Rattus norvegicus: one gene and its partner. The protein of the gene in region 2 interacts with the protein of the main gene of each other region in a pairwise test. Links are inferred from orthologs where the notes say so. Each region holds a gene or a part of one and is shown on either strand. Other genes may lie near its edges. The genes, in order: Spart and Smurf2.

The links.
Region 1: the proteins of Smurf2 (region 2) and Spart interact in a two-hybrid assay, tested with the Homo sapiens proteins (2 studies listed by BioGRID and IntAct). The link is inferred for Rattus norvegicus from reciprocal best matches to the Homo sapiens genes SMURF2 and SPART.

Annotation. Positions count from the first base shown.
Region 1 is NC_086020.1:141,459,620-141,463,431, reverse strand, and holds part of Spart (spartin), read right to left. Parts: intron 3,622-3,812; coding exon 3,463-3,621; intron 3,346-3,462; coding exon 3,255-3,345; intron 1-3,254. UniProt on the Homo sapiens protein: Lipophagy receptor that plays an important role in lipid droplet (LD) turnover in motor neurons.
Region 2 is NC_086028.1:92,358,963-92,363,345, forward strand, and holds the start of Smurf2 (E3 ubiquitin-protein ligase SMURF2), read right to left. Parts: upstream 2,819-4,383; 5' UTR 2,717-2,818; coding exon 2,665-2,716; intron 1-2,664. UniProt on the Homo sapiens protein: E3 ubiquitin-protein ligase which accepts ubiquitin from an E2 ubiquitin-conjugating enzyme in the form of a thioester and then directly transfers the ubiquitin to targeted substrates.

The DNA of each region.
Region 1 (3,812 bases), on a different chromosome or scaffold from region 2:
GGAAACTTATGAGGTATTTAAATTAAGTTTTAATTTAATTAAACTCTAAACAAACCAATACAATCTAGTACCATCGGAGAGAAAATTTCTTCCAGGGAAACACTATTAACTTATTTTCAACAAACAGATATTCAGAGATAGATTCTACAGACAGACCTAAGCTGCTGCAATGACATCAACACTGACGATGCAGAATGGAGCTAAGAGGAGTGAGGGTTAGTCAGCAGGCGCTGCTGCAGCTGAGCTGGGGGGTGGGGGGGTTAAGTTGTTTACTGTTTTCCATTATTCCTGTAGCTCTTCACCTGCCTCAATCTAAAAATGTGAAATGTTAATGTAACTGACAAAAAGTTCTCTATATATTCACCTGAAAAGTTTCCGTGTTCCTGCTCCCTCATACAACGCCCGCAGACACGGGTACGGAAGCTTTTCTAAGGCATTAGTTTTCTCTCAGGCATAATGCATGTGATGTCAGCAGATTTTAAACTCTGTGGGAGAGCAGTGCAGTCAGGACACGGCTTCAGTACACTGACATGAGCAGAACGCAAGCGTGCATTCTACTTCCTGCAGTGTCAAAGATTAAGGATAGAGAGAGTGTGTACATTTAAGTAATAAGAACCAAAGTAAAGGAAGGAATTTAGGAATGGCTCTCCACTCTCCCATCCTATCACTGAACTCTTATTGGCTCAACAGGTCTGTCCCTTTCTACTCCTGGGCCAGATTACCTCTGCAGGTGAAAATCTGGAATAGTGGGGCCCAATCTTTAATCCCCCAAGATTCTATTGGCATAAATTAAATCACTTTAAGAACAATCACTCTTGGGCTGGAGAGATGGCTCAGTGGTTAAGAGCACCGACTGCTCTTCCAGAGGTCCAGAGTTCAAATCCCAGCAACCACATGGTAGCTCACAACCATCTGTTATGGAATCTGATCCTCTTCTGGTGTGTCTGAAGACAGCTACAGTGTACTTATGTATAATAAATAAATATTAAAAAAAAAAAGAACAATCACTCTTGTACTCACAAGTCCACTGCTGGGCAACTCTGCCTTATTTATTCACACTGTGTAACTCTGGAGAACAGAATAAAGTAACACTAATAGACAGCACACAGGAGTGAGTTCACTCAGAACCTTGTGAAAATACCTGGTTCATCACACCAGGCTCCTCCATAACAATCTACACATATTCAGAGAAAATAAAACAAACACCTTCACTTTCTGTAGTAAGAACGGTAATCATAATTTTCTCTGTATTTGCTTTCAGCTCTCTGGTTAAAACTGGCAGCCAGGTTGATCTGTTGTGTCCCTTTGATTTGAAGGCACACCCACACTGAGAGAACAAAGCAATTTAGGACGGAAATCAAATGTAGTACTACCTAAGCCAAAAGCAGTCTAAATGGTGGCAGAGGTCAACCCAGAGCACTGAAGTTGTGCAGAGAGCTCTTCAAGGACAGAGAAGGCACAGCACCCTGCCCTGACTGTGGGACATGGGACCTGGTTTACATCACAGCTCTGCCACTCAACTAGGGATGTAAGCTCTAACAAGTTTTTAACTTTTAATGTTTTTGTTTCCTTGTGTATAAAACTATAGAAATGTTAAATTTATATAATACATGAGAAACCCTGAGCACAGTACTAATATGAAATAAAAACTCAAATATTAATCCACTTTCTACATGTGCATATTCTGTGCATGTTTGCATTCACACGTGTGTGAAGGCCTAAAACCAATGTAGTCCTTGATTGCGTTCCCCTTTGTTAACTAAGCTGAGCCTCTCACTGAACCCAGCGATCTCCAGTTCCATTTTGCTGTATGACTGCCCTGGACTCCATCTGCCTCCCTTGCTCACGTGTTGTGTGACCTTTGTTAGCTGGGGGTCTGAACTCAAGTGCTCAGGCTTAGGCAAGAGCTGTGTCCACTGGACCTCACTGCAGCCCGCCTGTCCCTCTTCCTAAGTAAAGCGTAAGAGTCAAACTAAGAAGAAAACAGCTTGGGTCCCACTAGATCTAGTTTTTTAAGGTCCAGATTTCTGTAATTCAGACAGAAGAAAGAAGGAGAACATGACCAAAAGTATAATCCATGCACATATGAAATGTTATAAAAACAAAACACTATTTTGTACATATACACTGTTTAAAAACCGTAAGTTCAAACAAAGAAGACACACCCAAAATGGCATTTTAAATTTGTTCTTTAATAACATTGCCCAAGTATTTGGTTCTCAAAAGTAAGTGGAACCAGAAGTATGGTGCCACTTCGGCCTAGTTCAAACTTTACTCTGTATGTAGTTTGTTGGTGACTCAGCAGACTTGTTCCTCTCGCTGACTTGATTCCACAGCTCCCATTCACAACTGCTGACCACTAACAAAACAAATGGCTAACTCCAGAGTCCTGAGTGACTTCCCCTTCCATGGTTTCTCTAAGGCAGCTGGCCTACCTCCCCACCCCTCACACACACACACTAAAGCCCAAATGCCATGGACCTTAATAAAGTCGCAGGCCCTCTTTGCTCTCCTCTATGGAATGTCTGTCCCCCTGTGCCACCTGAGGCCCCACTGACTATGGGGTCTCCTCTTCTCTATGGGCCTGCAGTGAAATGCCTTCAACTTCCTGTGAGTCATCGTGCTGGCTCTAAAGTGTCTCAGCAGCACACAAGCAATCTCGCCTTCCAATCAAGAAGCTCGACACAGATCTGGGGAGCCTCCTGGGACACATAGCTATGAGACGGACATAGCCTAGGTCACCTGCCAAGGGGATGAGGTCTGGCAGCAACCAGCAAGGCACACTGAAGTTACCTCTCTCCAAAGACCTCAGAGCCAACGTAGAAAGAAATCATACACCAACTATCAGCTCACTTCTGTCCTGTCTACCTAATGTATCAAACAGAAGGTAACTGTCTCTTTAGCCCAATATAAATGTGCAATGGGAATCATAACTTAGCACATGAATGCACTAATGTTAAAAGGGGCCTCCAATTCAATCAAGTCTGTTTTCTCCTTCAAGAAATACTACTATCAAAATTATATAGTTAAAAATTATACATATTCTTTGTATTAATGAACATTTATAACAATTAGTAGCACAAATCAAAGCCACAAGAGTTTCATCAGTATACTAAAACTGTTCCCTATTTAGAAAATAGTGAATGGGGAAAAATAAGTTTATCAGAAACAACTAAAAGAAAGCACATAAGCCTCAGCCATGCAGATTGAGCTGATGACACTGGAGATTCACTCTCCAATGACACTGTACTTACTTGTATCTGACAGTCTGTACAGTTTCTGCAGACACGTTGTTAACGATGCATTTAGCTGCACATTCCAGTCCCTGCCAGACAGTTGAGAATCCTGTAAACACAGGTCCGTCAGTCTCACGTGAACAACAGTCTGCTGAGCTGCTCAGGTAGCCCAGGGCCCACCCAGAACACAGCAAACATAAACAAGACAAACCCAGACCCCCGTTACCTTGAACACTACTTGCTGCCACAACCATGGCGCCATCCAGGGTAGACTTCCCATCTTTGTCTCTCTTCAGAGATTCTGGAACGAGTTTGCTTCCATGCTTCTTGACATGTGGAGCGAGTTCTTTGCCAACACAATTCGCTACTGTGCAGACGCCATCAACTAATACAGTCATAGAGAAAAGACTCAGAGAAACCAGTCCCTTGATTTCAGCATCTGCACTGAACAACGTTCTCAAATGGCCACCCATAACTGCTTTTCTGCACGGTGTTACTGTGTCTGATAGGTGAACCCTGGCTGGCCCTAAAGTGATTTGAAGCTCTGTTTGTGGTGTCTACAGAGACATTGCCCCT
Region 2 (4,383 bases):
GTCCTAAAAAGCTGCTAATTGAATCCAGCTCTTAAGATCTATTTGTTAAAATTTATACTATTTAATTCGTAAATGATGAACAAAAATGAAAAAATGTGAGTTAATGTTCCTTGCAAAACAGGAGATTCCACCATATGTAATCAAAGAGACAACAATGGTTTTAATATTTGTCAGACTTTGCGAAAACTATTCACAGGAAAATTCCCAATAGCTTTAAAAAATTGAGAGTAGTTCAAACTGTTTTTACAATTAAGAGGAGAGGACAGATATTTAAAATTCTTCAGAAAAAGCTAAGTGTACAAAATCACTCTATAAATTTAGTCGAATGTATCCTCTTGCTCAGAAACTAAGTGTGATCTTTTTCCTCTCAAACTTCACTCAAGGGAAGTTTCTTTAGTGCAGTGGTTATCATGTTCACCTAACAAATGCCACTCATAAATCTTTTTAAACTATCATATACAGAAAAAAAATGACATAAATATAAGAGCTGCTCAGTCACACTACCCCTCAGAACACTGAGGGTTAAGGTATTTTCTCTCAAGCCTGATGACCTAAGTCTGACTGGTAAGACTCACAAGGTGAAAAGGGTGATCCCACCTTATCCTGTCCACCACATGTACTCCATGGCCATGAGACAGACACACACAGACAGAGACACAGACACACACACACACACACACACACACACACACACAGAGAGAGAGAGAGAGAGAGAGAGAGAGAGAGAGAACATAAATGTAACAAAACCTCAGAACTCATTTTTAATAATTCATTTGAATTCTATATGCATTGGGTATGAGTGTGTCAGATCCCCTGGAACTGGAGTTACAGACAGTTGTGACCTGGAATGTGGGTGCTGGGAATTAAACCTTTGGAAGAACAGGCAGTACTCTTAACTATTATGCAATCTCTCCAGCCCACCTCAGAACTCATTTTTATCTAAAGAAAACCCAAACCTCTCTTTTTCTCTCCCATGTATGTATCCCAGAAGAAAATTACAGCCCATTTCCGATGGCTTTTGCACACCTACACTCACAATTTCTTTCTGTAATTGGCACAGACCTGCCTAGTAAGAATATCAATATATAAACTAGAGCACCAAAGATCCTTTATAATTGTGTTCCACTGACTCCCCCAAAAGAACAGTAAAGATGAAGATCAAAGCACGCCCCCCAACCTAGTGTTAATAATACCTTGTGATTTCCCTAGGGAAAGAAACGCTTTCAGGTCAGTGCAATGTATATATTTTTTCATTACTGGAGATTGGGGCAGTATGTGTACACAAGTGCAGGTGCTTGTGGGAGGCCAGATGCATCAGATCCCCTGCAGCTAGAGTTACAGGTGGTAGTGAGCCAAGGACCTGGGTGGGGGGTGCTGGGAGTAGAACTCCGGTCCCCTTAGAGAACAGGATACACTTAACCACTGAGCCATCTCTTCAGCCTCAAAGGGAAAGTATTTGAAGCTGTAGCCAACATACATTCAAACTAAATTCTCAAATACCAAATTCACTTCAAGTTACCTAAAAGGTACAGCCAACGGACTGGCATTTAACACAGGCATTCAACTACAACATTCGTCCACATAAATTTCAAAGTTTAGTGTGGGCAAGCATAATTACAGCTTATCCTTCGCTGGTGCACACACATATGAACCAACTAACTGCAAAATGACGTCTTTTTCACCACACATCTGAATATAAATGCGGACAATTTACTTACTGTGAACGATGCGTCTAGCTAGCAGAGGGACAATAGTTTCACTTACACTCTTTAAACCAAACGCAATTTTCCTTAAAAGGAGGGAGATGCGACCACGGAAGAATATCAGAAGTGGCATCATAAGCAAATTATACCTGTAATACGTTAACAACTTGCTGCACCTGGGAACATAAACAGTCTTTAACAAATCCCTCTGAGCATTCCTTTCCATTTAGAAAGGGGCGCGAAGTGTGGAAGAGAACCAGTAAAAGTTCGCTTAAAAGTTTATGTAGGAGTCCAAGACTTAGAAACACATTTCCAAGCAAGCGATTCTAAACCATGTCTGGAGTTCAGACGTGAGCCACTAGTTCTGCGGCCTACAAGGAACAACCCCAAACACGCTACCCTACAATCAAACAACTTCCAAAACACAGAGTGTACAATGAGCCGGGAGTCGTGGGATCAGGCAGACACGCCGGAAAAGCCAACCACAGTCTCAGTCCCTCCCAGAGACGTGCGTTTTAAGGTGTGTGGCACTGGCCGCAGAGGTTGGCAGCTAGAGAGTAAAGGTTTCACACCCGGGCATAGGTAGGTGTCCAAGTTAACAACCCGGGAACACACGCACTCTCCCGTTAAGCACTCAACTCCATATTTAAGGAGTGTTTACTGCGCGCAGTCAGCAACTGGATTCAGTAATCCCCTTCACGACCCCACCTGGGCAATAGCCCAGGGGCTGCTCCTGTGACCCCAAGAAACTAGATGTCCGGACCTCAAATCCGCCCTCCACGGGAGACCCACGGGCCACACACTTGGCGTTCTGAAGAATTTCCCAACCCCAGCTAAGTGGTTCTCCAATGACTCCCTGAACTAGGCCTTCCCACGCCCGGATTCCCGTCCAACGCCACCACCGACCGCGACCCCGGCCCTCCGCCTGCCCACAGGCGCCGCAGCCGCCCGCCCTGCTCACCTGTCAGGCGCAGCTTGACGGGCCCGTTCCTCCGGCCTCCGGGGTTAGACATGTCCCCAGCGGCGGGGGAGGCGGCGGCGGCGGCGGCGCTCGCGGCCCGCGGGCGGGCGGGCTGGGCTGGGCTGGGACGACGGCGAGGCGCGGAGGAGTCACCACAGCGGCCGGGGCCGGGGTCCGAACAGCCCGCGCCGCGGCCGCCAGGGCCGGAGGGTCCCGGATGTGCCGAGCGCCGTCGCCATGAGCCGCGGAGGGAGCGGGACGCAGAGCTCCCCCCTCCTCCCACTTCTGCTTCCTCGGCCCGGGCCGCACAACAAAGCGGCAGCCGCGGCCGGCCGCGCCGCCTCCGCCTCGCGCCCCCGCCGCCTCCTGTCCTCGCGGCCCGCCTCGGTCTCCCCTTCTCGGTGCCGCGAGGCCTGGGAGCCGATGGTGCGAAGTCTGCTGAGGCGGGCGGGTGCTCGGCCGCTTCCTCCTCCGCCCGCCCTCTTGTCTGAGGGAACCCGGTCCTGGGGCCGCTGCCGCCGCCGCCGCCGCCGCCGCCGCCGCCACTCGTCGGCTCCTGGGGGCGGGGAGGAGACGGGGGCGGGGCCTGTTGCAGGGCGGGGTTTGTGGTGGGCAGGGCCGTCTCGGGGGCGGGGTTGTGGGCGAGGTCTCCTGCGCCTAGGGCGCCGGAGGAAGGCCGGACTCCGCGCGGGACGCAGGGAGCGCGTGTGTCCCGGCCCAGACCCATCTCTGAACTCCACCGCCCGGCGGCGCCGGCTCCGTGGCACCAGAGGGGCCTGCTGACCAGCTAGCTCACTGAAAGACAGCCTGTGTCCCTACAGGGCAGAATGCCCGAGTAATACTCCCACTGCGCGCCCTAAGAGGCTGGCGAGAGTAAAGTAAAGTTAGACCCGAGTCCGAAGAATTAATTCGACAAGACGCTATTCCCACATCGAACGTTCCAGCAAATTCCCAGGAGTGCTTAGCTCTTAGTATTGTAATTGCCACCTCCACGGACTCACCTGGTACTCCAGATCCGGTTACTTACCTGCTCGGACTCTTTTTTTTTTTTCCCTAGCAGGACAGGCATAGGGAGATGATACAAATACCGCCAAGGACTGTGAACAAGATAGATAGGTGGATACTGTGTTTAAAGCTCAGGCAGTACTGTATCTTGCTATCCCAGGAGGAAAAAAAAAAAAAGACAAAATGAACAGGACTGTAACTCTGATGCGGTAACTTACAGTAATAGGAACTTATTCTGGACAAATAAATAATACAGGTGTTTGGGGGTTTTGTTTTACAAGGCTGGGATGAGAGTATAGCCCAATAATGAATTGTATTACATCAGCAGCAAGACATTTTTATGCAGCTATCTAAATGGCAATTGTGGTGACCACGTTACATGGAAGATTTTATATGTAATGCAGGGTTTAAATGGAGAATACAAGTTCTATGTGCACATAAGTAGTAATGAAAACTAAGGATAAAGTGTGGATTTGTATCCACGTTGACTTTGCTTAAGGCTGTTATAACATTAATGCCGTTTAGACTGTTCGTTGAAGTCTAATACATTTTAATCCAAAACAATGTAAATGGTTGCTTACAATCTATCGGTTAAGACACTTCATTCTCCAGATGAAACCCAAAAGCATTTCATCAGTCTAAGTACACTCCTACGGATTAAAGTGATCCCCAAATCATAAGTTCTAGCGGTAAGACTTAAAATACAAGGGACAG